Linked DNA regions of Arabidopsis thaliana. The main gene of each other region encodes a partner of the protein of the gene in region 3 in a complex. Each region holds a gene or a part of one and is shown on either strand. Other genes may lie near its edges. The genes, in order: RSZ21, ATU2AF35A, SR45 and RS40.

Region 1 (7,818 bases), 2.8 Mb from region 3:
TTTGGATAGAGAAGAAAATTTAATGAGAGACAAGAAAAATATAAAAACCGAATAACATAATACCAAATGCACATATACACGTTTTCTTACGATCTATTTTTCTAATTTTGGCAATAAAATAATATAAAGGTGTATGTAAATGACATTATTACCCTCAATCCTCTTATTATCTTCTTATTGTAGGGTTTGGTAGTAGATCAGATGATGACTAGATAATGTGGTGGACCATTTTCTTTTTTCGGCTGAAACAAATGAAATAATTTTAATCCTTAATCCAATCTAAAGGTAATGCTAAATTTGTATTTAATTTAAGAGATTATGAGATCTCATCAAACCTACTCTGTATAGGTCGTATATTGGTACTGGTCAACTTTTTTATTACTTTAATAAAATGATAGTTTGGTTAGTTTTATAATGAGCTATCGTTTACGAGTTTATCCAAAATGAATCAGATTTTCCGTAAACATGACTCTAAGAAAAACTCAACTCTGGTGCCAAATCATTAAGTTTACACAATATAAAATGTTAATGGTGTAAATAAATTACAATATACAACAGTTTTTAACATTGCATGTAGCATGCTTAAATTCTACAAACTTTTCCCGTGAAACAAATAAAAAAACATCCCATCAATTTTGTTTACGGTTCCAGTTTTTGTTTTTATGTATTTTAAAAATATTTCAATGTATAGTTTAAGTAGCTATATTGAATCTATGATTTGGTAAGACATGAGAAATTTATATCAAAGTGGCGGTGTCCATGTATACAAAAATCTAATGTTGACGACAAGTCGTTTCATGTTAACAAAAAAAATACCGACTAGTCACATCTCTACAAAGTGCAGGTAACGTTTTAAGAAATAATTATCATAATCCGTTGGCAAAAAAAAAAAAAAAAAGACTAAAACAATTTAATGTATTGGTCAAAAAACAAAACTTCTACACACGATCTAAGACTATATCCATATTGATAAGATGAATTGAATCGATATATATTCTTACTTTAACAAAAAAGAAAGATCATTAGAGTTATCTTGTCTTACTAAAAGTCTTAGATAAAGACATAAAAATGGAACAAACATCATTGGGAATGCAACATGCATGTACATATTACATATAGTAAATATAATATAGTTAAAAGCGAAGTCATTATTATATGACTAAACTAAGATAATTAAAACATGTAAGCACACATTATCGGGAATGTATTGATATTAAAAGGGCACCACGTAGGTCAGGGTGGCCTCTCAAACCCCCCAAGGGACAAAGCAGCATTAGGATTGTCACTAAAGTACTAACCATGTGTTATTTTACGATATTATCCCCATTTGGTGTTAATGGTTCCAAGTGTCAATGTAAATAACGTTGACATATATAAGCCGTGTTTTGTTTTCACGTTGTTTAGGAAGCCAACGAGGATTGGGTAATTGGATCCGAATCAGATTGACACTTTCTTCTTCTTTACTTTTCTTGCTCTTCCACTTGACAATACCAATTTAGGGCTTGGCTGGATACAAATGTTTTTATCCTTCTTCAACCCGTTATCCGTTTTACTAGACTTAAAAAAAAAAGAATAGTATGTGTAAATATGATACATGATATCATGCATTTGTTAACTACGATAAAAAAAATCGAATATCTATATTGTCCATTTTGCAGATATCCCTTTTAAATATCTAACTAAATATCTGTAAATGTGAGGTTTAAAATTGAAATCCGTATATTTTTATTGATATGCACAACGATAGTTACAATAAGTAACATGACACTAATAATCACTCCCCAAAATTTTTATACAATTAGATATAATTTTAAATACTAATATTCTATAAATATTTCACAATTTTAGAAATTTTGATACTAACCAATTAATGTTAGCTTTGGATAACGAATGAAGTTATGGCCATCTTATTTCTTCTGAGCCATCTATTTAGCCATAGCCATCCAAAAATTAAAGAGTATCTTATTCCTCCCATGTCCAGCTTAAGGGACAAGCCAGGGAATAGCGACACGTGTAAATTGAATGTCGATTTTGTAAAAGGAGGTAAGTGGGGTCTACACAGTGGCTGCAAATAAACGAATCATAACTAAACACGTGTCAAAGACACAGTCTTAGAGGAGTCGATGTAAGTGGGACCCAGCATGACTTATCTTGGTTCAGAATGTTTTCCCCAATGGATAAGTGTCTTTTTGTTTTTGGTGGGATGATGAAACCTTTTCTATTTACGTCGACGCAATTTTAAACAATGAGACTCTTTTTTTTTTGTGTGTGTGCAATCGTTTAGAGACTTGTTCACATGAATTAGGTGCCCAATCATGTGTAAATTGGTAAGGTATATGTAAAACTAACAATTGTTACACTTGCCAACTCCAAACTTAGATTTAATCAGCCTACTATATTTTGAAAATTTAAGAAGATACAAGTACTGATGCAAAAGTTGAAAACCAAAACCAACTCATATGGGCCATTAAGCAACTGAAACTTGCTCATATTTTTAAAATTTTAACCAAAAGGTTATGGGTTTTAGGCCCATTAGTTTTTTTCAGACTGAGAATCACGTCAAGTTACAGTAATTAGACATCAAACTCTAGAAACATGTTTGCATAACTTTTGTTGTCAAAGATGTTTTGCATAGTTTCAAAATCCGCTTTCACCTCAATTCTCTTTTTACGTTAACTAATCGACTATGGGAGACTAGTCTTACATTTTGGTCGCTAAAACTTTGTTTATGAATATATGGATTACCGAAAAATAAGGGACCATGAAATAACTAATAAATGACCAAATAATATATGATGTTAATTTTTTTTTACTTTTCAGTTTTCATATAATAATGAAATAACTTGGTTACTCTCTTTCCTCGCCGTAGTCTGAGTCTGAACCCTAAAACATCCCGCTTCGCTGCTCAGGACCAAGAATCTCAGGTACCTTGTTAACTACTCGCTGTAACTATTATCGATATCCATATTTCTTCACAAAATTCGATTCTCTTTCGTTCAGATTCAACTGATCTTTGCAACATGACGAGGGTTTATGTCGGGAATTTGGACCCACGCGTCACCGAAAGAGAACTCGAAGACGAATTCAAGGCCTTCGGTGTTCTTCGCAAGTAAGTCCTATCTCTGTACTCAATTTTGTTTCAAGCCATACGAATTATGACTCTGAATCTTAAAAATCGCAGTGTCTGGGTAGCTCGTAGACCTCCTGGCTACGCATTCCTCGAGTTCGATGACGAAAGAGATGCTTTGGATGCAATCAGCGCATTGGATCGTTAGTGTTCTTCTCATTAGACCTCTTAGTTACCATGTAATGTTTGTATTATTGTTTGGTCATTGAAAAGTTTTACTCTTGTGGCGTATACTTCAGGAAAGAATGGGTGGCGTGTGGAGCTTTCTCATAAAGATAAAGGAGGTCGTGGAGGTGGTGGTGGTCGTCGTGGAGGTATTGAGGATTCCAAGTGCTATGAGTGTGGTGAGCTTGGACATTTTGCTCGCGAGTGTCGCCGTGGTCGAGGCTCTGTGAGGCGTAGAAGCCCTAGTCCCCGTCGTCGTAGGAGTCCAGATTATGGGTATGCTCGCAGGTAACGATCCAACGGAAACATTCTTATTGAGCTGCTTAGATGAGATAGTATGTCATTAGTATGTCCATTGTGTTAACATATCCATTGAAATTGCACTTTGTAATCATGTATAGGGGCTGAGTTGTTAATGTTGATAGTACCTTTCTTGATGTTATAATCGCTTTGTGACATACATTTTTGTTCCTGTGGAATTGATTTTGTTCAGGAGTATAAGCCCGCGTGGAAGAAGATCTCCTCCAAGGCGTCGCAGTGTTACTCCACCTCGCCGTGGGAGGAGCTACAGCAGATCCCCTCCTTATCGTGGTTCACGCCGTGATTCTCCTCGCCGCAGAGACTCGCCCTATGGTCGACGTTCGCCATATGCCAATGGGTAAAAGTTCTTTTCTCTTCTTGGATTTAGGTTTACTTTCTCAATCTGCATGACTCAACTTCAGCATTGTCTATGTAGATGTGAATAACATTTGAAGTATTTTGATATAAGGTATATATTCGTTTGCGTTTCTGCAGGGTGTGAAACTGGACCCTGAAGAGAAAGAAGCTATTACTAAGCTATGATGCTATATCTACTCTGTGGCGCCTTTTAGGATAGATCTTTATATCTGCTATTATGGTATTAGCTCTTCTAGGTTTGGTTGTTGAGCATGGACATGTCATGGTATGTTCGAGTTTTATTAGACAATTGGATTTGGTGAGTTCTCCTTCATGCTGTTTTCCAACAGCCGTCTTGACTTATTCTCTATAACACGCACTGGCCTGCTGTCTTCACACAGCGTCCTTGAACCCCTACACTTGAGGTCGTTCTTTCGTATCCATAAATGTTTTGTCTCTTGTTGAATGCACTTTCCTTATTATATAGACATATCTAAAAAGCTCAACTGTTTCCACTCTTTTTCCCTTGTGAGGTATGATTTATCGGGGATCTCTTGGCAGCACAGCTGCATCTTACTCTCCCCACAACTTAGTTTTATCATGAATCTGCATCCTCAACTCGACCAACATCAGCTAGAATTTGCTTGTTACATTGTGTGACTTTTAGATTGCCCTGCTCTTTACTCACCACTCCTACCCCAAGTCTGCAACCAAGCTTCTATTGAGAAAGACGAATCTGTTTCTTCACCCCGTCCTCTTCCTAGCTCTCGGCTGCTATATCACCACTTGGTTTCTCTACTCACTTTTGTTTTTCGGTCAACTTTGTTACACATCTGTTGGTGGATCACACACTTACATTAAATTAAACCCATTTGTGGATGCTTCTTTTTTATATTGCTTGTGAAAAACGTGTTAGCTTAGTCTTTTGTGTTCATGATTTGGTTTCCCACTTATGCTTTTCTTTTCCCAATTAATCTCGACTTTTAATCTGTTCTTCTTCGGCCGCCACATGTTTTCATTTTAATACTTTTCTAAATTTGGTTTTGAGGCAATTTGGTTCAGATTTGTTGGTATACCAATTCTTACGTCAACGTCAATGAAGAAACGACTCCATATTTACGAATAAAAAACTGTAGTAGATCTGTACTCTCCCTTTTTCTTTGTAGAGAAGAAGAGAACTGTGAAAGAAGATGAAGATTGAGGAGGATCTAGGTTTCATCAACATACTCAAACGAGCAACAAAGCTTCTATGTGGTAACATCAATCTTGTTCTCTTCCTCTTCCTTTGCTCTCTCCCCCTCTTTTGTTTCTTGATCTTCTTCGAGCTTTCACTCCAAACCACTGTCTCACTCGCTTCTCAATACCTCGTTCGACAACTCACTAATTGGGATTACTACTACGTTCCTCAAGATGCTTCCGTCTTGGAGAATCTGATTCCATTGCTTATCCAGACATTTCTACTCTACTTGTTCCCGTACGGCCTCATAGACCTCTTCACCACCACCACAATAGTCTCTGCATCTTGGACTGTTCACACGTCGGAGGAGGAACCGTTAAGGTTCGGTCAATTGGTTCGGAGAACGGTAGAGATATGTCAAAACAGACTTGAAGGTTGTCTGATCACCTCTCTGTACGTCCTTCTCTTGTCAACCCCTGTTTTCTTTGGCTTCTTATTTGTAGCAACGAACTATTTCCACATCATTTCTCTGACCGGATCAGGCGAAAACTCATACTACTATTCTATAAACATTGAAGAAGATGCCGAAGGCTATTACAGAAGCAGCAGTGTCAACAGTCCGGTAAAGATGTTGTTTGATGCGGTTTTAGCTATGTTTCACGGTGCTATCTTTCTCGGTTTACTGGCGATGTTCAGCAAGTGGAGTGCGGGATGGAACATGGGTTTGGTTGTTTCGGTGTTAGAAGAGGAAGAAAATGGTCAAAGCATATATGGAACCGATGCCTTGACACTGTCTTCTAACTATGGAAAAGGACATGAGAAGCGTGGTCTCCAAGTGATGCTGGTGTTCTTGGTCTTCGCTATTGCGATGAGGATGCCATGTTTTTGTTTCAAATGCACGGAGAGTTCCAATGGAAACAGAGTGTTGTACACGAGTTTCTATGTGGGTTTGATCTGTGTTGGGAATATGATCAAATGGGTGGCTTGTGTAGTGTTTTATGAAGATTGTAGAACTAGCGTTTTGGAGAAGAAAGGTGATGTGGAGATTGGATCAAAAGGTAAGACTTTTGTTGCATAGATAAATTGTCTTAGATCAAACCAAAGCTCTCGAATCTTAAACAATTTCTACATGACCAATAGCTCTGGCCTCTTCAAGCTTTCCTTATAGTTGCTCCGTTTAAGCCATTAAGGTCATATCCCAATGTATTGTTGTGTGAGACTATCAGTGTTCATGGCTTGGCCAAGTATTTATTGAAAGTTATATTATTGAGTTGTGTTTGATCATGTACACTTATACAATGTAAAGCTTAATTTTATCTTATCTCTAACATAAAAAAAAAACGAAATAAAAAATTCTAAATATATGTTTTCATAAGAATGATATTGGACACACGTCTTAGATTAACTGACTTCACTTCATAGTTAGGCTTTCACTGTTATCTCTAATACTTCGATCAAGTTTTTTGCTAATTTCCATATAATTTAATTACAACAAAGTGTAAATAGTTCTAAATTGACAATCTAAGACTTGAAGCTTATCTAGTAAAACCCCACTACTAATCAAACATTACATACAGTGACTTATAGACCAAGTCAAGAAGTCAACGTCAATGAAGGACGACCATTAAATTACTCAAAGACTTATTACCAATTACATGTTCCACCACTACACATACAGATCTGTGACCTCTCTTCTTCTATTGTGAGAAAGAGATCAACAAATGGAGACAAAGAGCGAGGAGAAGCTAAGTGTCATCGAACTACTAAAACGAGCTCTTAAGCTACTCTTTGGTAACATCAATCTCGCTCTCTTCCTCTTTCTTTGCTCTCTCCCACTGTTTTGTTTCTTGATCTTCTTCGAGCTCTCCCTCCAAACCACTGTCTCACTCGCTTCCACATACATCTCCAAACTAGTCAATTCTGAGGAGGACTTGTCGGAGAATGATCTTCTTCCTTGGCTGATTCAGACAACTCTGCTCTACTTCTTTCCCTATACTATTCTTGACCTCCTTACCACCACCACGATCGTTGCAGCATCATCGATTGCTTACACATCTGAGGAAGAGCCGTTAGGGTTGCTTTATTTGGTAGGGAGATCTTTCAAGCTATGTCAGAACAAAGTAGGAGGTTGTCTGATCACATCTCTCTATGTCCTTCTCTTGTCGACCTCTGTTTTCCTCGGTTTGTTCTCTGGTTCGACCATCTACTTATATTTTGCTTCTCTCACACTCGAACAACAAATATTCTTTAATCAAGCAGTGGTGCAAGACCAAAGATTCCTTGAACAAGCAGTGGTTCTGTTGGATGTGGTGGTAGTTCTGATTCATGGTACTGTCTTCATAGTTCTGGCTGCAAAGTTCAGCAAGTGGAGCGCGGGATGGAACATTAGTATGGTTGTTTCGGTCTTAGAAGAGGAAGAAGATAGTAAAGGCATCTATGGAAGTAGTGCTCTGTCTCTTTCAGCTTGGTACTTAAGAGGACAAGAGAAGCGTGACTTCTGGATGATGCTAGTGTTCTTGGTCGGCGCTCTTGTGACAAGGATGCCATGTTTATACTACAAATGCAGTGAAAGTCTGAGTGGGAATGGAGTGTTGTACACTGGTCTCTATGTAAGTTTGATTTGTGTTGGGAATGTCGTTAAATGGGTTTCTTGTGTTGTTTGGTACCATGATTGTAACACAAGGGTCTTGAG
Region 2 (7,246 bases), 3.9 Mb from region 3:
AATAGTCTGCAACAGATATATTGATTCTTCTTACAAAATTTGGGTTATGAGCAATATAATGTTGATGAAAACAAGTCAAAAGTGGTTATTTAATAGTTATTCAGTCTTCCTGGTTAATTAGAAGTGTATATGATTGCTGCTAAATATTTCCACTTCGGTTTCTCACTCGGTGATTTTGCAGACAATAGCGACTTCCAGTCTGTTCCTCGCTTGCAAAGCTGAAGATGAGCCATGTCAACTGTCCAGTGTCGTTGTAGCGTCTTATGAAATAATTTATGAGTGGGATCCTTCTGCCTCAATTAGAATCCATCAAACTGTAAGTGTATACATACATCTATGTATTGGTAAATTCGCACTGTGCATTTTGCTAATTTATTACATGTTGCTCTGCCTGTAGGAGTGTTATCATGAATTTAAAGAAATTATTTTGTCCGGGGAAAGTCTTCTGCTGAGCACAAGTGCTTTCCATTTAGACATTGAACTTCCCTACAAACCTCTGGCTGCGGCTTTGAATAGACTGAACGCTTGGCCTGACCTTGCAACAGCTGCATGGAATTTTGTGCATGACTGGTAAAGACCCTTGTTAATAATATCTGCCCGATTTTTCCCCTACATTGAGTTTGAATCTTATTATGCATTGTGTGTAGGATTCGAACCACACTATGCTTGCAGTACAAACCCCATGTTATTGCAACAGCCACTGTGCACCTAGCTGCTACGTTTCAGAATGCGAAAGTAGGCAGCAGGAGAGATTGGTGGTTGGAGTTTGGAGTTACAACTAAGCTATTAAAAGGTTTGCTGTTCAAACTCTATTTTTTCCTCTGGTATTATTGCAGTCATTTGATCAAGTGAGATGTAGTGTTTCTATAATGTTAGCGCTAGGAATATGTGGTACTGTAGCTCCAGCTCATGTTAGGTTCTTACCCTGTGCACATATTGAGTTTGGAATTAGGTAGTGGCCTGAACGAAGAGATGTGCTGCTATTGATTTTAGCGGTTGATTAAAAATAATTGGATGTTTTCATTATGGTGACAGAGGTAATCCAGGAGATGTGCACACTGATAGAAGTGGACAGAAGGAGGAATATGCCACCTCCACCTCCACCTCCAAGAAGAGAGTTAAGTTGGGCAATACCTGCAGCCGTAAAGCCGGTCCATATGGCTAGAGCTTATCCGTTTCACAGCTACCCTTTGCAGTCCTATAGACAGGCTGGCATCTGGTGAGCCATTGTTGAGCAGCATGAAGATGTAATCTCTCTTAGAGTCTTGAGTTGGTTTAGCAATAAAAGATTTCCGTAGAGACTCATGAGAGAGGCAGTGTAGCATTATATAGAGATCCGAGTGAGGTGCTTCTGTCTAAGTTAAGCGTCTCATGTATGACCAAAGTGGATTCTCTCGAGATTCTTGGTCTCTGTTCTCGATAGAGAGAGATTATGTATAGAAGTGTCCCATTCACATGTTATAATACTAGCTGACTTTATATCGTTTGTATATCTGGAATCTATGTTTTTGGTTTCTTTAAAAAGTTTAAAGTTGTTTTGATTTTGACTAATTCTCTCATTGTTAAGTAATTTGGTTTTTGATGAAGTGCTATTAGGTCTGTGTTGAGTTGAGACTTGAGACGAACACAATCATCATATGATCAAGCTTATACCGATCGGATAAGTAATTAACCGGTTCAATTAACTACACCTAGCTTATACCGATCGTATAAACCGGTCAAGAACCAAAACCGCTTGGTTTCCATTCTAGACCAAACCGGATTCTAGTTTCCATTATTATTATCTTTTTTATCGGATTAAAAATATAAATCCTTATGTCAGGAGATCCCATTCTCTGTCTCTCTGTCTTTCTCCCCCAACTCGCGAACAAAGCAAACCCTAGATCATCCATCGGCGAGTGAGACGGCAGCTCCTCGTCGGTAATTCCTTCCACCGGCGGCGACCACTCACCCTCAGATCTCTCAATCCCACTCATCTCTGTAACATTCTGTACGCTTTCTCTCTCTCTTTCTTCGCTTTTGTGATCTATTACGGCTCGGTCTCTGTGCCTCCCAGCTCTATTTTGGAGCACTGCTTCGTCTCTGTGTTTATTTGGCTCCTTTGTGTGTTTCTCTATCTCTGCTTTTCTTTTGTATTGCTCTGTTTCCGATTTTATATCCATATGTCTCTGGTTATTTGGTTATATCTATGTGTGATTCTTTGTTCTTTTTTCCATTGAATTCAATAGCTGACTAAGATCTCTGCCTTTTATCTTCAATAGTTGCTCAATCTTTTCGCTTTCGTAACATAATTTAGTTTCTTGTTGATGTTTTTGATATCTACCAATCTCTTTTCAATTTATGTCTATATGTTGCTAAATATCTTGTTCAATGACTGATTTCTTAAACTCAGGGTGGAAATTCTGCCATGGCGGAGCATTTGGCTTCAATCTTTGGTACTGAGAAAGACAGAGTGAATTGCCCTTTCTACTTCAAGATTGGCGCTTGCCGTCATGGTGACCGGTGCTCGCGTCTTCACAACCGTCCTACCATCTCCCCAACACTCCTTCTTTCAAACATGTACCAAAGGCCTGACATGATTACCCCTGGTGTTGACGCTCAGGGCCAACCACTCGACCCGCGTAAGATTCAGGAGCACTTTGAGGATTTCTTTGAGGATCTTTTTGAGGAGCTTGGAAAGTTTGGCGAGATAGAGAGCCTCAACATTTGTGACAACCTTGCTGACCACATGATTGGCAACGTATATGTTCAGTTTAAGGAAGAGGATCAGGCTGCAGCTGCTTTGCAGGCTCTGCAAGGTAGGTTCTATTCAGGACGTCCCATCATTGCTGATTTCTCTCCTGTGACGGATTTCCGCGAAGCCACGTGTAGGCAGTATGAAGAAAACAACTGCAACCGTGGTGGGTACTGTAATTTCATGCATGTGAAGCTTGTTTCGAGGGAACTAAGGAGAAAACTCTTTGGGAGATATCGGCGATCATACCGCAGAGGAAGTAGAAGCAGGAGCAGAAGCAGGAGTATTAGCCCCAGGAACAAGAGAGATAATGACCGACGTGATCCTTCTCACAGGGAATTCAGTCATCGGGACAGAGATCGCGAGTTTTACCGTCATGGAAGTGGAAAAAGGAGCAGTGAGAGGTCGGAGAGGCAAGAGAGGGACGGTTCAAGGGGTAGGAGACAAGCAAGCCCTAAACGAGGAGGGAGCCCGGGTGGCGGGAGGGAAGGAAGTGAGGAGAGGAGGGCAAGGATTGAGCAATGGAACAGAGAACGGGAGGAGAAGGAAGAGGGAGGAGCATAAAAACAGTTGTTTACTCAAATCACAATTGCTGCTATGTGGTTTCTGCGTCTGCTTCTCTGCGTTTATTCTGAAATCGGTAAAATCTGGTGATGGATTTTTCATTTGGCTGTTCTAATTTGGAACTTGAAATGAGTGGAATCAACTTCTTTAGATTATAAAATGTTTGGGGTTACTTTCTTGTAGTTTTGATTAGGAAAAACCGCTCTGTCCCCTTGTTATTGATTTTCACCAGTGTTCTTTAGAACTTTGTACTATCTTCTGTTGGTTAAAACTTAAAAGAGTTCTAGTTTAATTCGAAGTTGTCTATTGTTCTTCAATGCTTGGGAATACTAACGAGTTTCTGTGTCATGGTTCAGTTGTGGCACTAATTCGGGTCAAAGCACCTCAGAATTTTAGACAAAGATAAGGGGCAAACACTTTGGGCCTTTGATTGCATTGATTTGTGTTCCAAACACGTCAGAAGTTAAGTCTTTTTCTAAACCAGTTATCGAATGGGTTAGTCTTGGTTGCCATTTTTCAAACATACTGGCTTCCAATTGGTCATGCCAAATATGTAGCTTACTAGACCTATATACTTTCCAAAATTACTTCATAAGCTGTTTGTCTAATTCACGCAATGAATACATATATGCATAAAATACTCCATATGAGTAAAAAGATGTATAATATAGCGGAATATATAACAGAAGTCGACAATGCAATATACATCAACCCTAAACCATAAAATCATGAAGGTCATTTTGGCTTGTAGGCGTCGTCGAGTCCCTCTTCAGTGATCGTTGTGGTTCTTCTGGACAGAATATTCAAATGGTCATATAACTCATAACTCCCAAACGGCCAAACCATTGTTCTAATTGTGATGACGAGTCAAACCACTAATCACAATAAATTAATTACTTTTTTTTTTGTCCCACACATGTTCACAAATATATGTTTAGTTAAAAAACTCAGAATTAATCAATTACAATGCATTAAAATATCGCTACCACCGTCACACCACCCCAATACATCCGTCCGATCTAGCATCAACACCCACAGCCCATCCCATTGACACGGCGGTGTCATTTCTAAAGCATCAAACAAAACATGTCATTGTTTATTCTTACTTTACATTGACTGAATAGTCTGAATTAACATAATATATATATATATATATATTTACGGAATTTTATCATATGAATTCTCAGTTATGGAGATTAGTAGTTCAATAGATTGGCCACGTGGAGAAGTCTTTGCCGTCTTCGCTTGAGTGGATATATTATAGTAATAAAACCCATACGATATCTTGTTAACTTTTTAAAAGTTTTCTTACATCAAAAATATACAAGATATCAAAGTTCAAAAATTAGAAATCTGAAAGATCGTAGCTACATAGTGAAAGATGGATTGTTGAACAGCGTTATAAAGTCACATTAATTCCATGTAATAATAATACCTCAAAATCTCAAATACAACACATGCACGTGTCTAGCTTGCTGCGTTTCTATATACATTATGCAACTGAAAATCGAATTATAATGATACTAAAATGAAATATATGATCTTAAATTTGTTATTGTTAGGAAAATATAAAGATGAGGAATGGGGAAAGTCTGTTGGACAGTGATGCCCTAAATTTGAGAAAGCATATATTCCCCTGCTCTAAAGCCTTTGTCCTCTTCTTAGACAACTTTAAAATAAATAATAATGCTTTCCCATACTTTTTAGGACCCTCCTTTTAAGGCCTTTGTTCTCTACTTTTTTCTATTTGACCCCCAACAAAAAGAGATTATCTTTTCATTTTTTCGTAACATAAAAATAATTTATGATTGACCAACTACGACTATCTATCTTTAATTTCTTTTGAAATCAATTTAATCATGAACCATTGTCAGTACATAGCCTTAGCATCGCCTTTCCTGTCAAAGGATGCAATTTTGTTATGTTTTGGTAGTTTAATTGAAAACTCGTCATAGTAGACAGATATAAATATTTCTCTTCATCTCTTTTTTGTGCTTATGTTATATGAATCAAATGAGTATCCCATTAAGTAAAAGAGAATGAATCAAAGCAGTTATAATAATACAAAAAAGGAAGATTGTAGAGTTATATATTATTAAAAGTTCAAAACATTGAGAAAAAGTAAATGTAAAGATCAAAGCTTCAAGTGTTGAGAAGCATGGCACCTAGGTGGTCTAGTAGACTTTGGTTATAAATTTCAAGTAAAAGAAAAAATGATCAGCACACGAATTTTTTTGTGCCAACCAGTAATAGCAACTCAATGATGTGTACACTAATTGACAAACAAAAACTGAAAACAAACTTTGCTTTATATACCATTACTATTAGTATTACTACATCTAATTAATACCATTGATATTTATTACTTAAATCTTCAAATATTATTTTCTATATATTCCTCTACATATTAATTTATATTTATCAATTTTATAGTTTAATAAAATCATAAATAATTTGAAGCAAAGACTTCGTTAATTATACTTATAAAGTGATGTGTTATGAAAGCGATTGGATGATTGAACCCTGATTGGTAACAGATGTAAAACAAATTTAGCTCCTACACCTAATACTATACTTTTGAAATTAATACTTAAATTTCTTACAGAACTTTTAAAAAGAGACACAAAATATAATAGATTAACACAATATAGTTTTTTAAGATCTAAGGTCAAGTTGGATAATGGATAGAGGGAGCCCATCATTTCTTAATCTTCCGGTACATATGGTGTATCTAAGTGGTCATCAGGTAGTTTGTTATAAATGAGACCATGGACGTAATTAGTGCAACCTTAGTTTCTATATTTTGCATATTGTATCTATTAGTTTGGCTCCATATAATGATTCCAAGGACAATCAAATATACAAATAGACACATTACAATAAAAATTTTATTGATGCAAGTAGATACTCTGACAATCCGCGTGGTTAGTTAGGTATAGGGCTTGATGACACTCTAGAATTTCAGGACGTAAATTCGAAGAGACTCTATTTTTGATTCTCTTGACGAATAATTAAGTTGTGCATGGGCCATTCGTGCTCGGGTTAGGAGTTATTGTACATGATAAGCTTGTTCAACAAGAGTTCGTTCATCTTCGAGATTAATCGAATTAGATCCAGATTACTGCTACAAAATAAAATAGATATTGGAATACATAAATTTGTTTTAAATATTAGAAACATAACAAGAATATAAAGAAGGTGAGATATGTGAGCGTGCAAGTAGAGACGAGAAAGAAACATAAAAAGTGAAAACAAAGTTTTTCCCATACTCTTTTTGATCTCAACACATTCTCCAACGTGCCTTTCTTCTGATGTGAGTCTTGTTGCTCTCTTTTTATATCTGGTTGATCTATTTTTCATTTCTTTTATACTTGTGAATTATTATGAACTAACTAATTGATCGATTAAGTTAGTTGTTTTCCACACTATTAATTAGTTAATTAATTAAACATTCTTTTTAGATGCGATCGAATTGGTGACAGCTTTATCAACAGTACAATACTCATTTTCGTAACTTATTGCACTTTTGAGTCACACTAGATAAGGAATCATTTATGTATAAAATGAGTTCTTCGCTCTTCTAAAAGCGTTCATTTCAACCAAAAAAAAAAAAAAACAGCCAACCATAACATCAGAATATGAAGCATGTTCTTTCCAAAACCAATAACACAAATTACATTGCACGACACATATTATGTAACAACCAATAAAAGTTCGCCGCCTCTTCTATATGCTAATAATGACAATCAACTAGCACCTTGCCAAGTTATTATCTCTTGCATAATTTTTTTGCTCTATCTCTACTTACTATTGATTGTAATAGTTATCCCCTCCTTTCATTGAATGTCTCTGATGGTTATGGAATTGAAATTATGTCGGACTTTCTCTAGTGTTCCGATATAGTGACTTCGACCTTAAAACACGCTTATAAGTCAATACATGGCAGAT
Region 3 (8,266 bases):
TTGACTACATATTTATATATATTTTTAATAATTACTAATCATCAATTTACAATTAGAAAACGGAGATTATCCTCAACACTCTCTTCCAAAGATTCAATACATACAGGATCAGAGAATGGTGTGTGTATTTATTAGATTATAAAAACAGAGTTGTTGCTCTGTTGTGCAGGAAATGACAGGAGTGTTCATGAAGAACTGTTTTCTAAACTATGTTACCTACAGAAACATCTTCCCCATATGGGCACTTGCAGAGTGGTATGTATATTTATTTTCTTTGAGTGGTATGTACTGTGTGAAGTTGAGGAAAACTCTATTTTTCGTTTTAAATAAAAGTTTGTGCACTCTCATTAAGATGCATGGTTTGATGCAAAATTGTTGTTGTGCATCTTAGGAGCCCTTAAATTATAATTATTTATTTCTCTGAATGAAACAAAAAACCAATTTCTTGTGTATTTGGATCACCAGTCTTTGTATGGATTTCTTTCTCTTTTAACTAAAATAATAAGAAAAGGGTGAAGGAGCCAGCCATTCTTCAACAAGACTGAATATATTAGGGAATTACAACCAGCTAAAAGAACCAAGTCATTATCGTTGCATCTAATGAGGAGATCCACAAAAGAAGATTAAACATCCAAACACTACAAAAACCACAACTCTCATTTGGTCACTGGTAAACATTTTATCTGTTCTAAGAAAAGAGGCTGAGACAGATGATAACGATAAAGATGGAGAAAGAGAGCTACATCAAGACTCAAGTTTTTTTTTTTTTTTTTTTAATTTTTATCACCTTTAAGTTTTACGAGGTGGAGGTGGTGGTGGCGGTGAACTGCTGCTGCTGCTGTTACTGCTGCTTCTTTTTCCTCTCAGTGGCCTAAACATACCCAACAACAACCCATTTTCTTTTATTAGACTTCAACGCAAAAAATTTCTACACAACAATTCTATTTTTCTCTGTTTCATCACCAAACTCACCAAGAAAGTATAGGTCCCAGATGTTTATGCTATGTCTTTTATCAGGAATTGGGGTAACCCTTAACTTTACTATACATAACTTAACATTGGAACTTCTTCAATTAATGCATTCTACAGACTATAAAGTGTTTCCAGTTTAAGACGAGGATTAGTGTTAAGACAGAAAGTGTTTACCTCTTAGGACTGCGGCTCCTTGAAATCTTCCTAGGAATCTGTAAGGTTTAATAATGCACAAATGATAGAAAGTCAAGAGTCAAGACATATAACTCGCAAGGCATCAAAAATTTTATAGCTAAAAAGGGATCTGCAAGAAGCCCTTACCCTTCTGGGACTTGGTGAACTAGAGTAAGAAGATGACCTCCCACGTCTCCCAGCTGGACCTCGTCCCCTGCTTACAGTTAAAGACAAAATTAATTCATGAACAAACCCCAGACGGATCTATATAACTTAGTCATATTGGGTATCAACGTCTCTAGGAGCTGGTATGTCAGAAACCTAGGTAAAAGGATAAGACAATGTAGGATCTTGGGGTATACTCATGAATTATGAAAGACTTAAAAACTTGTTATGAATCAGTCTTAGCTATGCATCTGTAACAAAATAAAACCCACGAGAGAGACCCCAGAAAAAAGTTTAAATGAGTTCCAACATACTTGCGGGGTGAGATGGAACTTGAACGAGAGCGACCAGGCCTACGAATTGGGGATCGGCTACGCCTACGGATTGGAGATCTTCTGGGAGGACTGCGTAGTCTCCTTGGAGGTGGAGACCTGAAACACGCCGAATACAAAACATATATAAAACTGACACATTTTTCCCGGTCTAATTTACTGAGTAATATAGTCTATAAAGCTGTGATTCCTAAACTTCGATTACTAAGGGTGTAATTCAGGTACCAAATAGACATACCTTCGTCTTAGAGGAAGAGGAGACCTTCTTCGAACAGGACTGCCACGAATTCTTCTAGGGGAGCCCCTGCTGACAGATAAAAGGTGAGCTATCGAATCTGAAACACACCAGACAAAACAGATGGTGCCATAACTAACCTTGGAGGAGATCTATATCGTCTTGGAGGGGGAGAAGATGGAGAACGGCCTCTAGATGGTGATGCTGGCCTACGTCTAGGAGGTGTATCACCGCGACGGCGGATAGGAGAGCCCGGCCTCCGGCGATGGGGAGAATCAGGTGATCGCCTTCTAGGTGATAAGCCTCTCCTAGGTAGAGGTGATCGCCTTCTCGGAGAAAGCCCTGTTTTCCGTTGAGGAGATGCTAAGCACATATTGATGATACTAATTAACACAACATAAAGCATATACTACAACAATTATAAATAACCAAAATATAAGGATTTGACATACTCTCTCTTGGGCGCCTGGGACCACCATCTTTCTCAGCGTCAGCAGCAGCATTATCAGATTTTGGAGCATCTCTTTTTGGTGCAGCTGAGACAGGTTTAGGGGGTGAAGATACTTTCTGACGAGGTGGTAGTGTGAACGTTGCTTTAACAACCTTTCCATCAATTTGGGCCTGTGTTCAGTGAACAAAAAAAAAACATGCATAAATCTTCTCTGTCAATATGTCAAGTACAGTGCATTTCATAATTGGAAAGAGACATACACCATCCATGTAGAGCTGAGCTTTCTCAGCATCAGCTCTTGCCTTGAACTCAACATAACCATGTCCTCTTGGAAGATTAACCTGTTAATAATATTCAAAGGAATTATGAGCAGATTTCAACAAGTGATGCAAGTAAACAACAGAGAGTAAAGAGAATAGCAACTTACAGCTCGATCCATCGCAATTTCGACATGTATAACTTCACCAAAGTTGCCTAATAATAACATGAAACCAAGCCATGTTATAAGACTTAACATTTAGCCAACACAAGGAAAACAAAAGACCAGTGATGATCGTAATGCCGTATACACTACTGATGACATTAGCGGACATGTGTAGACAGTTATCATGTAGTAAGATTAGAAGAAGCAGAAGAAACAGAGAAAAGAGAAATCAACATACCAAAGATTTCTTTGAGATGGGCTTCATTCACATTCCTGCTAAGAGAATCAACATGGAGAACAAGAGATTCTTGAACAGCTTTCCTGAAAGCATAAAAGATTGTAAAGTCAGTAATGACGAAAGCATAAACACTAGAATATATTTATGTGAACGAGTCAGATATTACTTGGAAGGTGAAGATGCTCCTTTAGATGGTGGAGGAGGAGGAGAGCGACCTCGCCTAGCAGGTCCAGCAGGACTACACAAGAAGATACATCAGAACATCAATTCGAATTCGAGCTGAACGAACCAAGAAGAATGAAAGCGAAATTACACAAATCCAATTCGAACAATTGGTAAGTGATTGAAAGAAACCCTAACCTTTTTCCACGACGTGGAGGACTGCGACTCCCAGAACTGACGCTTCGCGAAGGAGATGAAGATGAAGAGAGCGATCTAGAACGGGAGCGTGAGCGGGAAATAGACCTGGAGGGGCTCGAACCCGAACGAGATCTGGAACTGGAACGAGATGACGAGCCAGACACGGAGGGGGAACGACGGCCACGACTTGGTTTCGCCATGGGCGAGAGATATCGAGAAAATCGCGAGAAACCTTGCTTCAAAACCCTAGCGGATAAAAAAGATTAGAGGAGAGAGACAGACAGACAGACTGTGACTTTTTTTTTCCAGTCTCCTTTTTTTTTCCGCGGACTGCAAATTAAACCGAAGATGATACGTGGCAGGTTTTTATTTGCTTGATAAATTGAGGGATTTATATGTTTTTTAAAGCATTTTATAAAGTATAAATACCATAATGAGCTCAATTTGTGTCCTTTCCCATTTTTCATATCAGATTTGAATGTGTCACTAATCAAAAGTTCTTCAAATCCTACAGGAAAATTCAAACAGAAAAGCTAGTAACTCCCATAAAAAATTCAACAACTTATAAAATGTTGTAATCGATTGTCTGTGGTCGTGTACACCATCCAATTAGGATCAATTAGATACCATTTTTCTATAGCTCTCTTGTTGTCCCATAATTTGTTGATATTGTTGTTGCCTTGGTACAAACTTAAGAGCAATCTCAAAATCAAAGTATCTTAGATTGAATCTAGTCATTGAATAACACCGAAACCATTAAGGTTTATTCATACATCTATATAGAAGTGTCAAATGGTCATCTGACCATGGGCTAAGCCCAGTCCACAACATTATGGACAGTCCATGGTCGGCCCGTAATGAAAACGGGCTATATGGTCTAAAGACCAATTTTGTCCATGGGTTTAATGGGCTAGCCCACACGGTTTATGGTTGGCCCATCAATTTTTTCAACACATAAATTTTTTTCTCTTCTCTCTCTTTCGGCAACGACGCTCTCTCTCCCGGCGACAAAGCTCTCTCTCGGCGACGACCAAGCTCGACCTCTCTCTCAACTCCTACTCCGGTTAGTTCTACTAGCTTGTGGGTTTGTCCAAAGTTCAATTGTGAATTTTGGATATGAGGAGAGCTAGCTAGCAAATGGGCACTTTTCAGATTTTGTTTATGTTTCGCCATTTCGAATTTCATTATGAATTGAAGCACATCAATATGTAGAGACCCTTTGTGTTGTAAGTTCATGCTTAATTATTCCAGAAGGCTAGTGATTTAGTCAAGTTCATGCTTTATTTGTTTATCACTGCTAAACGTGTGTATGTCTTTATTTGTTTCAGAAATATGGAATTGGATACTCAAAACTTGGTTGATGAAGACAACTTTAATCTTGAGGATCAAGAAATGGACCATGAAGATCCAGAAATGGATCAGATACTACCTCATGAAACTGCTTCTTCAGGGACAGCTGAGAGAGGTAAAAGTAGTGTAAGTAGATTTCGTGCTGCATGCTGGAAAAACTTCGATAGAGGACAGAAATATCCTAATGGGAAAACTGAGGTTACATGCAAATATTGTGAGCAGACTTATCACTTGAATCTGAGACGAAATGGTACTAATACCATGAATCGTCATATGAGATCTTGTGAGAAGACTCCTGGAAGTACACCTAGAATTAGCAGAAAGGTGGATATGATGGTCTTTAGAGAAATGATTGCAGTGGCTTTAGTTCAACATAATCTTCCATATTCGTTTGTCGAATATGAAAGAATTAGAGAAGCCTTTACATATGCTAACCCTTATATAGAATTTTGGAGCAGAAATACTGCAGCTTCTGATGTCTACAAGATTTATGAAAGAGAGAAAATTAAGCTTAAGGAAAAGTTAGCTATAATCCCGGGTAGAATATGCTTAACAACAGATTTGTGGAGAGCTTTAACTGTTGAAAGTTATATTTGCTTAACAGCTCATTATGTAGATGTTGATGGTGTTCTGAAAACGAAGATCTTATCTTTCTGTGCTTTCCCGCCTCCACATTCTGGAGTAGCTATAGCAATGAAGCTTAGTGAGCTGTTGAAAGATTGGGGAATTGAGAAGAAAGTTTTTACTTTAACTGTAGATAATGCTTCTGCAAATGATACTATGCAAAGCATTTTAAAGCATAATGCTTCTGAAAATGCATTCTTATACTTAGTGAGAATTTTGTTTTGTTGGTCATATTTCAGGGGTTTTACTCTTACTTTTCTGAAAGAAATGGAACTGGAAAATCACCATTAGATATGTACTTGGAAGAGCCTGTGTTAGATATGGTCTCTTTTAGAGATATGGATGTTATTGCATATTGGAAAAACAATGTCTCGCGTTTTAAAGAATTGTCATCGATGGCATGTGATATCTTAAGCATTCCGATCACTACCGTGGCATCGGAATCAGCTTTTAGTATAGGTAGTCGTGTGCTTAACAAATATAGAAGCTGCCTTTTACCTACTAATGTGCAAGCCCTCCTATGTACTAGAAACTGGTTTCGTGGATTTCAAGAAGTTGGTAATATTCACATCTTGAACTCGTTTATAATAGTAAACTTATATGGCTTTTGGACTGCAGCTTTTAGATTAATAGCTCGGTTTTTCTTATTGAAGAAACTGATGAGATCCAAGGTCAAGAGGACACAAACACCACCCTTGCATGAACGTTTCAAGACTGGGAAGAAACAAGTACATGGTTGTTCTCTTAAGCTCTGAGCCTATGGTTATGTGTTTATTATTCTCAGTACATGGCTGATTTGATGATGTATGTCTTTGACAGATTGTTATAGGTTGTGATGGTATCCGGTCTAAGGTTGCAACTTGGATGACAGATTTTGGTTTGGAATTGATTCTGGATTTTGTCTCTTACTTATAATCATTTGTGATTGATTACATTGTGGAAATGTTGTTTAAGCTTATTGTTTTACCTAAGCTTATTGAAGATGGCCACTTCTGGTTTCCAATTTCTAGATGTTGGAGTAGTATTGAAATGGGTTTCTCTGTTAAATCATTCTCCATGTAGCCATTGTAGGCTTTTTTCTTTACTTGTAGGTGCATATAGAGAGTCTTAGATGCGTGTTTGAGTTGTCACGGTTGATTACAAGACTGGGAAGAACAGGTACATGCATGTTTGATTTCATGTTGATGTTATGGTTTTATAAATAGAGCTTTTGACGAGATTGTGTGAAAATGCATTGTATATAAACATCATTGTATGGGCTGGCCATGGGCTGACCATTGGACAATGGTCTTTAATGGTCTTGGACAAATTTTTAGACCATTGTCCATTAAAGACCAACCAATAAAACCCATGAAAAAAATGGTCCAAGTGGACATGACCAATGGGCTTTGGACAGCCCAATTGACACTTCTACATCTATATAAACTAATCTGATTTATCATCATAAAACACTTCCAACGCCATTTGGTCCTATTCTTGCAAAACCTTTTACAATCATGAATCATGGTGTTTGAAAATTGTCCATCGTTTTTGCAAGATACAAAGAAGAGGATTCAGATAACATGAACAATATTATTAAAACTAGGCCACAAGGTTGGGGTACAATGTCTTAAACAAATAGTAAAGCCAGAAACTTTAAAGAAGAGAATCAAACCTACTAATTAAGAAAGCAACATACTAATTAAGCTTCAGTGAGATGGAAAAGCCTTCCTACAAATCAGTAGATCATAAAGTCAAAAGCTAATTCTAACTCATTGTCCAGAATGTTGATGGTTCCTGATCCTGCTTGAACGTCTCACAGGTGTTATCATCTCTTTCTCTTCGTGACCACTTCTCTTTTGTATCTTCTCATATGTTGTGAAACTTCCATATGAAACAGAACCTATGGAGTACTCTGATGCAGAGGAAGCCATGGATTCACCGCTATCATTACTCTTCTTGCCTCCTCCTCCGCTTTGATGTTCTTTAAGATCATCTTTCTTGTTGCTGCAGCTGTGTAATGGTTTGTTCTTACTGAAGCTGAAACTCATCTCAGAAGGGAATGATGATACCTCTCTTTTTCTGTCATCACCAACTTCTTCTTCTTCTTCCTTGAAATTCAATGAAGAAAGCCTTTCTCTGATCAGATTCTCTACTGGCACATGCTCGACAACTTTAGTTGCAGAGATTGCTGTTGGTTCGCCATCTTCATGTTGCAGCATCACAGGTTTTGTCTTCTTCTTGGCTAATAGGAAACCAGCTGCTACTGCTGCAAGTATAACCATCATAGTCGAAAACAAGACTAACACTTTCTTCTGGCCACTCAACAAAATGTCCTCCGAACCTGCATCATTAACAACTTCACCAAACCCACTCTCTTCTTCTTCTACTTCATTACCGTCATGTTCAACATCTGTAGCTTCTTCTGAAACACTGAGGCTACCTCCAGCAATTTCCCCAACACCTTCTTCTTCTTGTACAGTTTCAACATTGGCTACTCCGGTTTGTTCTTGCTGGTTACTACTGATTGCAGCAGACTGCACATCGTCAAGCAGTTGTGCGTCGGATTCAGCTTCTTCCATGTTATTCTGGTCATTTTCTTCATATTCTTCCTGCCCTTCAACAACATCAGTTTCTTGGCCACCATGTCCTTCTTCAGAAAGAGATTCTGAATACCTTTCACCTCCGTTCACCTCTGTATCTGTAGCTATCTTGATCTCAGCCTGCTCATCACATTCATCAACAATTTCTAAGTTTACCTTTCCTTCTTCATTCTCCTGCTCGACTTCATTATCATCTTCTTCGTAGACAGCTTCAAGACTGATTTCACCACTGTTTTCCGATTCTTCTTCAGGTTCCTGATGACCAACATTCACTTCTTCTATATCCACTTCTAAGCTATCCACTATGAACCCATCAACAATGATTTCAACACTAGTTGACTGGAAAACAGCATCAGACA
Region 4 (8,431 bases), on a different chromosome or scaffold from region 3:
TATCTTACCAAATCCCTTTCCAGACTTAGTGCCGCAAAGATCACACTGCCACATATCCTATAAACAGAATGAGAAGATGATGAACTTATTCATTAAAAAATCAGTGAAGTGAAATTCATAAATAGTACAGGTGGAGTAAAGATGTGTATAGCTAAAGATATGCTGATGCAGAACACAGATATCATAACAGACCAAAACACACAGAGCAAAGACGATACTGACCGGAGCTGCCTGTGGAAACATGCCAAGGGCATGGTGCCCAACACTTTCGTACTGTGACAAGCACAACCTCTGCTTTGCACGAGGTGAGAAGTATTCTGCCACAAATTTCCTCCAATAAGTAATGCAATTTTCCTACAGAAAAGGTATCAGTGATGGGAGAACTTGAATAGATGTGATAAAATAACTAGAAGTCCATAGGTTAGTATTAGCTTACAGCAGGCCGTTGCTGCAGATGATACAAGTACATCATCAATTTCCGAGCACAGACGCCAACTTCATAAGGACGTACATTAGGAGAAATCTGTTGGGTTCCTTGTTGCTGTAACTGCTGTCTCAGCTGCTGCTGTTTCTGAAGTTGGAGTCTCTGAGAGGGTGACATGGATTGAAGCATCTGCTGATGTTGCCTCACTCTCTGCTGCTGAAGCAAAGCTTGCATCTGCGGATTTCTTCCCGTGGGGTCCTGGCGCTGGATCAACTGCTGTAAAATCTGCTGCTGCAACAAGTCTTCTTGCTTCACTTCTAATCTCAGTTTCTTATCTACATGGGAATAACTGTTTTCCCTCATTGGAACTGAACCTTGTCCTGCTTGCTGTTCTAGTAGTTGCCGCTGCTGCTGCTGAGGTAAGTGTTGCATTGAAGGAGATCCATCAAGAACCATTGATCCAGGCAGGTTAATGCCATTCGAAGAGAAAGACATTGGCGAAGTCGGGATATGCAGATTATTGATGCCACTGCTCCTCTGCATATATACAGCTTCGGAACCAAGAGCATCAGTCAATGAGAAACTCGATTCGATAGCTCCAGGAGAGCATACAGAGATCAAGACGTCCAATACAAGGACGGATTCAGAGGAATGAAAAGCTTGACTCTTTAAAGCGTCCTCTCAGAATCTCTGACCCAAATAACAAAGCCAAACGGATTCTAGCTATGATTAATCATTCAGGATCCAAGTATTACGAAGATTTAGCTGAAGGAAATGAAAACCAAATCAGAAGACGAAAAGGCGAATTTTTCATAACACTCGAAAGCCCTATACTATCAGACGAGCATATCTCAAAGGGTAAAACTTACCAACAAAAGACTAAAACTTCAAATCCAATGGGCAACTCAAATCAAAACCCAGAAAGTTTCAACCAAGTAGACTCTCTCGACTTGCACGAATCCCAACGATCAGAAAATTGGAGAAACCCAGTAGACAAAGAGATCATTAAACTCTACAGCAGCATTTTACTTGGTAACAAATATACTAAAGCAGACGACCAATGTAGGCAGAACTATAAGTCTATTTGTAGCCAATATTTATATTTGAGTCAAAGGTTAGGGACTAGTTCGAACGTTGACAAGAGGCGTTTAGAGTAGTTTTTAGACCCAATTAAGTCAATAGAACCGTTCTTGCCTTCCATAATTTCGGCGTACCATTTAAGTTACTTAACGATGCGTTCGATTTTGTCACTCTCAAGGTGTTTCGATGCAAGATGTTTTGAGGTTCGCATCTTATTGTCACGGGAAAGCATTACATGATTGGGGTTCAAACTGAGAGGTGATAAAAAAAAACGGAAATGTAGTAACTTGACATAAGTTTTTCAATCCGACAATAAAAGTGATCCGAGTTCGAATCTATCAAAAACCAAACGACAAAAACTAATCACGACGACATAGCGTTGTTGACTACAAACAGTTACAACATCCTACTTTGATAGAGATTGTGGATCCACTCTTATCACTCGTCAGCTGGTGGCGAACGAGGAGACCGGCTGCAACAACAAGAGAAATGGTTTACGATTCATGTCATCAATAATATATAAACAAGTATCGACCTATTTCAGAATCTAACCTCTTCTGCATTGGGCTCTCTGCACCATCATACCCACCATCACTGTCTCTTCTTCCTATTGACCCAGGGCTTTCAACTTGGCCATTCTCGGGGCTAGACCTCGATCTCTCTCTCCTTTCAATGGGACTTTCAACTTCACCAACCCCATTTCTCGGACTCTCCTTCTTGAACGGGCTGTGATTAGGGCTCATCCTCTCTCTCTTGTTGTTGGGACTGCGGCTGTACTTAGTAGGGCTTGCGACTCTCTCCCTCCTGCGAGGGCTATCATTGCCTCTGCGGTCACGACCATACTCGGGACTGCCACGTCTTGATTTCTTGTAAGGACTTGGGCTACGTCTTCGACCATAGTCAGGACTGGTCCTTTCCTTTCTGTAGGCAGCAACAGGACTAGCTCCTCGGCCATAATCAGGGCTTCCTCTTTCTCTTTTGTAAGGACTAGGTGATCGCCTTCTCCTTTCAGGTGACCTATCACGGCGTCTTTCAGGACTGTGTCCATTTCCTCTAGCATCATCATCCTTCACAGCATACTCCACCGAGATCACCTTATCCATCAGCTTACTGAATGAAAACACAGATGAAACGTGAGTCTAAGAAAGGAAAGTGATTAGATACTAAAATGGACAGAACAAACCTGTTATTTGAAGCATCCAATGCTCTGGTGGCATCCTCTTGTGCCTCGTACTGGATAAATGCAAAATTCCTCCTGATCCTAACGTTTACGATCTTTCCATACGGCTCAAAGTGTTTCTCTAGATCCCGGGTCCTAGTATTATCCGCATCAAAGTTAATCACAAAGAGAGTCTTGGAAGGTCTCATGCTGGATGAGGATCTCCTTGAACCACCACCAGATCTTTTATCACCTCCACGTTCACTCTATATACACAGAACCATTTATGTTATCAGTATTTCAAACCTCATAACTAAGTCTGGAAAGAAATAAATCCTGGGGTAAGTATCCTACCTTTGTCCATTCAACACGAAGTCTGCGTCCCTTACGCCCAAATTCAAAGCGGTCAAGTGCTCGGATGGCATCTTCCGCATCCCTTTCATCTTCCATGTATACAAAAGCAAACCCTGGAGAAAAAAGAAAAAGCCAAAAGCAAAGATCTGAGTACATTAACAGTGAGGAAGTGGACCAGATTAAGAACCTTCAACATACACGAACACTGTCCTCCCTCCTTCAACGCCTAACTTAACTCCTAGAACATATTAAATTTTGAACATTCCTAGAACCTTAAAAAAACTCCAAATGACCAGTGAAGCAGTTACAGACCTTGCATTATGGAATTAATATGTCAAGGAACAACTGAAAATGTGGAAGTCAGACGGGGATATGAATGAAAATAGAGAGCCTTCTCCATTGCAGAGGCATGTCCAAGTGTGCAAAGTGATGAGGAATGAAATGCAATTAAGATGGCAGTGCTAATGCGGATGGAAAGTGACTGATTTTGAGGGATAAGAGATGGATTTCCCTATGGTCCATTCATGGCCAGGTGTGAGTATAGGCGTCCCAAGATTATCAAACACATCCTGCGTCAAAGAAAATGCGGTTTTACACTAATTTTTTTTCTAAAAATCTTATTCCTCTGAAGTACTTTCCAAAGTTCAAGCAGGCTGCATCAGGTGGCCAGGTGAATGTGGTCAATGTTTAGTACTCCTTCCAAAGGGAGATAGTCCACCAGAGCCTTCTCGTGGATGGAATGAAGACGAGAGTGGATTTCATGAAATGCATTTGAATTTCGCTTTTTCATTGTACTTAGTGGATAACAATACTGCTTATTATAATTCATTCAGGTTAACCACAAAGACAGAGTAGTAAGAGGCAGAAGAAAGAAAGAAAGAAAAAAAAGGCTCACCAGCTTTCATATCAACCCTCTCAACCTTGCCGTATTTCCTGAATAGTCGTTCCAGGTCACCTTCGCGCGCATCATACTCAAAGTTCCCACAGAAGACTGGCTTCATGCTTCCTGTATAGACAACCACAATAGTAAAAAAGATTCATGAGACTTCCTTAAATGATAATTTAAACACGAATATCACAACTAATTTGTCACCAAGATGAAAACTTTTAACACTAAAAACTAGAGCCCTCACACTAAATCGAATTGTTTTGCAGTAAATTAGGACTTGAAACTCATCTATTCGAGCTCCAAATCAGTTAAATCTAGGAACTGAACTAGACAGTATTAGAATCAAAAGTACAATGCAACAGATCTAATCTAACTACAGTTAGATCTGAATATCATTCACAAGATAGAGAAAACGAGAACAATCCACGAAAGCATGAATCTTTCATACCAGAAAAACAAAGAAGGCTCTGATGAGATTCAACTTATAAAAAACGAGATGGACCAATTCTCTTGTTCTACTTTTCACCAACCAAAAAAAAAAGAAGGAAGAAGGAGATGAGAACCACGACGATATAGAGAGTGAATAAACTGCATCAATTTACCTGTAGAATGATTTTGGCAGGCGTAGTCGCGTGGAAGCCCTAGAAGAAGAAGAAGCTCGCGTCGAGAGATAGGTGAAACTGAAAACAGAGTTAGGTACGATTTAGATAAAGAAGGCAAGAGAGATCATTTGGATTTTTATTTTATTTTCTTTTCTTTTTAGTTTCAAAGATATTTTTTTCAGAACACATTTTGACTTTCTTATTTTGTCTGAAGGACGAGAAGTCGAGAACGTCTACTTTTTAGGAGTATTGGGCCTATATGTTAAACAAATTATAAGAAGCCCAACAAGTAAACAAAATTGAAGCTGCTTTCTAAAAAAACAAAACAATAACAGATTATGAAGACAAACAAATATTAGATTTTTTAATTTTGATTAGAATATACTGATTAATAGAACTAGAACATGTATCACATAACATCTACACAATGAATAATGCATACAAGTTTTTAAAAAGTCTTGCAACTTAACACTCTCAAGATCCCACATGTCAAGTTTTGGATTCGATGAAACATATGAGTTTGTTAGTAAGTTTAATAATTGTTGTTATAAAGAAATGTGTATATTTATATATTACAATTAATTAAATAAATTGTTTTCCTCTTCATTGGATTGCTTCACTTATGTTAAGAGTTTAGTAGTTGCTTTCAAGGCCGAATGATATGTGGCCACGAACATATCATCACACGTGGAATGAGAACGAGTTTCGACTTTTCAAATATGCCATAAAGCCTCAATTATCTTCTTATCTCGCTTGAATATGCAACAAAAAGCTATTAAGATATTCATAAAATAGAGGCGTCTCAAATCTACCAACAAAAAGCTACAAAAGATCCAGTCCAATCCACTGAAGAATCCCAAAACAGAGTAGAAACCCAAACAACCCGATTCAGCAAATAATTCAAAAACGAACGTCCGTACGATTTTCCAAAAACAGAAAGATGGGTTCCACAAGATAATGCGTGGGGACGTCAAAATCCTCTAAACCCGTGGTTCGGCCGCGGAAACACTGTCCCTACCTTCCCCACCAGCCTTCACTGGCCCCATACGTCACTCTCAAGCTTTACTTTCTATTTTCCACTAAAGCCAATTTTGTTGTTTTCTTCACCTTACCACTCTTTTTTTCCCTCTTTGTTGTGTCTTCTTTTCTCCTAAATGTCAATAACGTGAGAGCGAGAGGTAACGAGAGAGATATTTTTGTCAGCGAATATATTTCATGCATATCTTATTGTGAAGATTTTTTATACCTTTTTTTTGTCAATACAATATAGCTATTATTGAGATTGAGATATTTTGTGGGAATTATTGGGATTCAAGATAACTTGCTATTTTGTATTGGTCTAATCCTTCGCTTAGTCCTGTCCTGGTCCATTTACATGTTTTTGGTTATAGTTTGTTTAAACTGAATAATTTTGTTCATCATATGCATTTATGACTCATTTTTAACCGTCCATCGAAATTGATAATTATCCATTACCAAATCTGATTAATTTTTTTAAAAAATCAAGCTTTTCTATATTGTAGTATTATTTTTGGTTAAATATTAGGACATCTACTTCCAATACAAATACTACATGAGTATTTAAAATATCATTTCACAGAGATATTTATGTCTATTATGTTATAGACGGGTGACAATTAATGACAATTTGTTTATTCATAGGAATTTAAAAACGATTGTAACAACAGCAGCCAGCCAACCACACAGGCACACACTCGATAGAATTTAAAGAACTCATAAAGGTTAACGAGTGAAGAGTCAAAAGTCTCTTTACAAGGGTCAAAGGACACACGTCAGACAGCGAGTGGAACATCGTGGGATTGCTTCGCTATGTACTATACACGTGTCATTCACAGAGACAAAAACTCCGTGTGCTCCCCACATATCCGTTATCTCTCCTCCGGCCAATATAAACACCAATTCTCACTCTCACTTTTTATACTAACTACACACTTGAAAAAGAATCTACCTGAAAAGAAAAAAAAGAGAGAGAGATATAAATAGCTTTACCAAGACAGATATACTATCTTTTATTAATCCAAAAAGACTGAGAACTCTAGTAACTACGTACTACTTAAACCTTATCCAGTTTCTTGAAACAGAGTACTCTGATCAATGAACTCATTTTCAGCTTTTTCTGAAATGTTTGGCTCCGATTACGAGCCTCAAGGCGGAGATTATTGTCCGACGTTGGCCACGAGTTGTCCGAAGAAACCGGCGGGCCGTAAGAAGTTTCGTGAGACTCGTCACCCAATTTACAGAGGAGTTCGTCAAAGAAACTCCGGTAAGTGGGTTTCTGAAGTGAGAGAGCCAAACAAGAAAACCAGGATTTGGCTCGGGACTTTCCAAACCGCTGAGATGGCAGCTCGTGCTCACGACGTCGCTGCATTAGCCCTCCGTGGCCGATCAGCATGTCTCAACTTCGCTGACTCGGCTTGGCGGCTACGAATCCCGGAGTCAACATGCGCCAAGGATATCCAAAAAGCGGCTGCTGAAGCGGCGTTGGCTTTTCAAGATGAGACGTGTGATACGACGACCACGAATCATGGCCTGGACATGGAGGAGACGATGGTGGAAGCTATTTATACACCGGAACAGAGCGAAGGTGCGTTTTATATGGATGAGGAGACAATGTTTGGGATGCCGACTTTGTTGGATAATATGGCTGAAGGCATGCTTTTACCGCCGCCGTCTGTTCAATGGAATCATAATTATGACGGCGAAGGAGATGGTGACGTGTCGCTTTGGAGTTACTAATATTCGATAGTCGTTTCCATTTTTGTACTATAGTTTGAAAATATTCTAGTTCCTTTTTTTAGAATGGTTCCTTCATTTTATTTTATTTTATTGTTGTAGAAACGAGTGGAAAATAATTCAATACAAAACAAATCGTTTTCTACTTCTTTGCTTCACATAAGTTAAAAGTCAAATATTTAACAAAAAAGATATTAAAAGTCATATTGTAGTTGCTTTCAAGGCAAAATATGTGGACAGATCATTACACGTGGATGATGTTTGTAAATATGCCACAAAACCTGCATTACATTATTTTATTCTATCTCATGTAAGTTACAGATCTTACAATTTAGCAACAGAAAGCCACAAAATATTACATAAATTGGCTCGTCTCGAATCTAGCAACCAAAAAAATTCAGCCCAGTTCACTATAAAGAATATAAAAAAAAGTTTCCTAAAATAGTGTATAAAACCGAAACAAACTAATTCAACAAACCCGAAATAAACAAATCCGTACGACAACCAAAAATATCTTTCAGATGGGTTCCACAAGATAACCCAGTGCCAATCAGAATTCTGAAAGCGTGGCTCGACCGCGGAAACCATTGTCCATACCTTCTCTTCTTTGTCCCCCCTTACGTGGCTCGCTGTGGAGTCTCGTACCACGTGTCGCGTCACTTCACTCTTTACTTTCTATTTTCCACTAAAATCATAATTTGTCTTTTTCTTGACCATACCCACTCTTTTTTCTTCTCGTTGTCGTCTTGCTTCTCCTAAATATCTCAAATAACGTGAGAGACTTGAGTGTGAGAGGTAGGTAACGAGGCAGACTTTTTTTGGAAGCGAATATAACTTATGCTGATATTTTATTTAGCTTTCTGATTGGAGTTGAGATATTATATAGGTATTATTGAGATATTATATACGTATTATTGAGATTTGAGATATTTTGTAGATTTTATAGTTCTATCGGACTAATTCTTGGCTTAATCCACTAACATGTTTTTGTTTAGTTAATTAAACTGATTATTTTCTGCGCTATAGTTTTGTTAAACACCTTTTAGACGTAACAAAGCAATTACGCTTGATCATCCATCGTAGACTCTTTTTCTTTTTTTACATCTCATAGAAGTTTTGTTTAAACACAGCAGGAAGTAAATTATTTTCTTATTACGTACGTATGATTG

Evidence for each region.
Region 1: SR45 (region 3) and RSZ21 share a complex: the UniProt entries of both Arabidopsis thaliana proteins name them as parts of the spliceosome.
Region 2: SR45 (region 3) and ATU2AF35A share a complex: the UniProt entries of both Arabidopsis thaliana proteins name them as parts of the spliceosome.
Region 4: SR45 (region 3) and RS40 share a complex: the UniProt entries of both Arabidopsis thaliana proteins name them as parts of the spliceosome.

What each region holds. Positions count from the first base shown.
Region 1 is NC_003070.9:8,424,367-8,432,184, reverse strand, and holds RSZ21 (RS-containing zinc finger protein 21), read left to right. Parts: upstream 1-2,699; 5' UTR 2,700-2,924; intron 2,925-2,943; exon of another isoform or gene 2,944-3,000; 5' UTR 3,001-3,020; coding exon 3,021-3,109; intron 3,110-3,181; coding exon 3,182-3,270; intron 3,271-3,366; coding exon 3,367-3,580; intron 3,581-3,785; coding exon 3,786-3,950; intron 3,951-4,087; coding exon 4,088-4,094; 3' UTR 4,095-4,928; downstream 4,929-7,818. Other genes in the region: AT1G23850 (uncharacterized protein), read left to right, coding at 5,140-6,204; AT1G23840 (uncharacterized protein), read left to right, coding at 6,848-7,818. UniProt on the Arabidopsis thaliana protein: Probably involved in intron recognition and spliceosome assembly.
Region 2 is NC_003070.9:9,612,745-9,619,990, forward strand, and holds ATU2AF35A (U2 snRNP auxiliary factor small subunit), read left to right. Parts: upstream 1-2,162; intron 2,163-2,392; 5' UTR 2,393-2,407; coding exon 2,408-3,298; 3' UTR 3,299-3,613; downstream 3,614-7,246. Other genes in the region: CYCT1;3 (cyclin T 1;3), read left to right, coding at 182-316, 398-570, 648-793, 1,036-1,223; AT1G27640 (uncharacterized protein), read right to left, coding at 1,719-2,162. UniProt on the Arabidopsis thaliana protein: Necessary for the splicing of pre-mRNA. Probably active at the 3' splice sites.
Region 3 is NC_003070.9:5,675,136-5,683,401, forward strand, and holds SR45 (arginine/serine-rich 45), read right to left. Parts: upstream 3,718-8,266; 5' UTR 3,552-3,717; coding exon 3,352-3,551; intron 3,230-3,351; coding exon 3,158-3,229; intron 3,075-3,157; coding exon 2,992-3,074; intron 2,804-2,991; coding exon 2,757-2,803; intron 2,671-2,756; coding exon 2,590-2,670; intron 2,500-2,589; coding exon 2,331-2,499; intron 2,242-2,330; coding exon 2,019-2,241; intron 1,948-2,018; coding exon 1,882-1,947; intron 1,743-1,881; coding exon 1,593-1,742; intron 1,361-1,592; coding exon 1,294-1,360; intron 1,185-1,293; coding exon 1,147-1,184; coding exon of another isoform or gene 1,143-1,146; exon of another isoform or gene 1,052-1,142; coding exon of another isoform or gene 1,042-1,051; exon of another isoform or gene 872-1,041; coding exon 790-871; 3' UTR 713-789; downstream 1-712. Other genes in the region: AT1G16630 (uncharacterized protein), read right to left, coding at 7,077-8,266. UniProt on the Arabidopsis thaliana protein: Involved in 5' and 3' splicing site selection of introns, and may bridge the 5' and 3' components of the spliceosome. Isoform 1 is required during flower petal development and isoform 2 is involved in root growth.
Region 4 is NC_003075.7:13,020,755-13,029,185, reverse strand, and holds RS40 (arginine/serine-rich splicing factor 35), read right to left. Parts: upstream 4,689-8,431; 5' UTR 4,509-4,688; intron 4,422-4,508; exon of another isoform or gene 4,355-4,421; intron 4,232-4,354; exon of another isoform or gene 4,024-4,231; 5' UTR 4,019-4,023; coding exon 3,913-4,018; exon of another isoform or gene 3,337-3,912; coding exon of another isoform or gene 3,330-3,336; exon of another isoform or gene 3,174-3,329; coding exon of another isoform or gene 3,131-3,173; coding exon 3,018-3,130; intron 2,930-3,017; coding exon 2,688-2,929; intron 2,615-2,687; coding exon 2,057-2,614; intron 1,977-2,056; coding exon 1,943-1,976; 3' UTR 1,746-1,942; downstream 1-1,745. Other genes in the region: SLK3 (SEUSS-like 3), read right to left, coding at 9-57, 223-354, 437-967; AT4G25510 (uncharacterized protein), read left to right, coding at 1,150-1,538, 1,683-1,743; CBF1 (C-repeat/DRE binding factor 1), read left to right, coding at 6,624-7,265. UniProt on the Arabidopsis thaliana protein: Required for constitutive and alternative pre-mRNA splicing. Involved in primary miRNA processing and pri-miRNA biogenesis. Binds both intronless and intron-containing pri-miRNAs.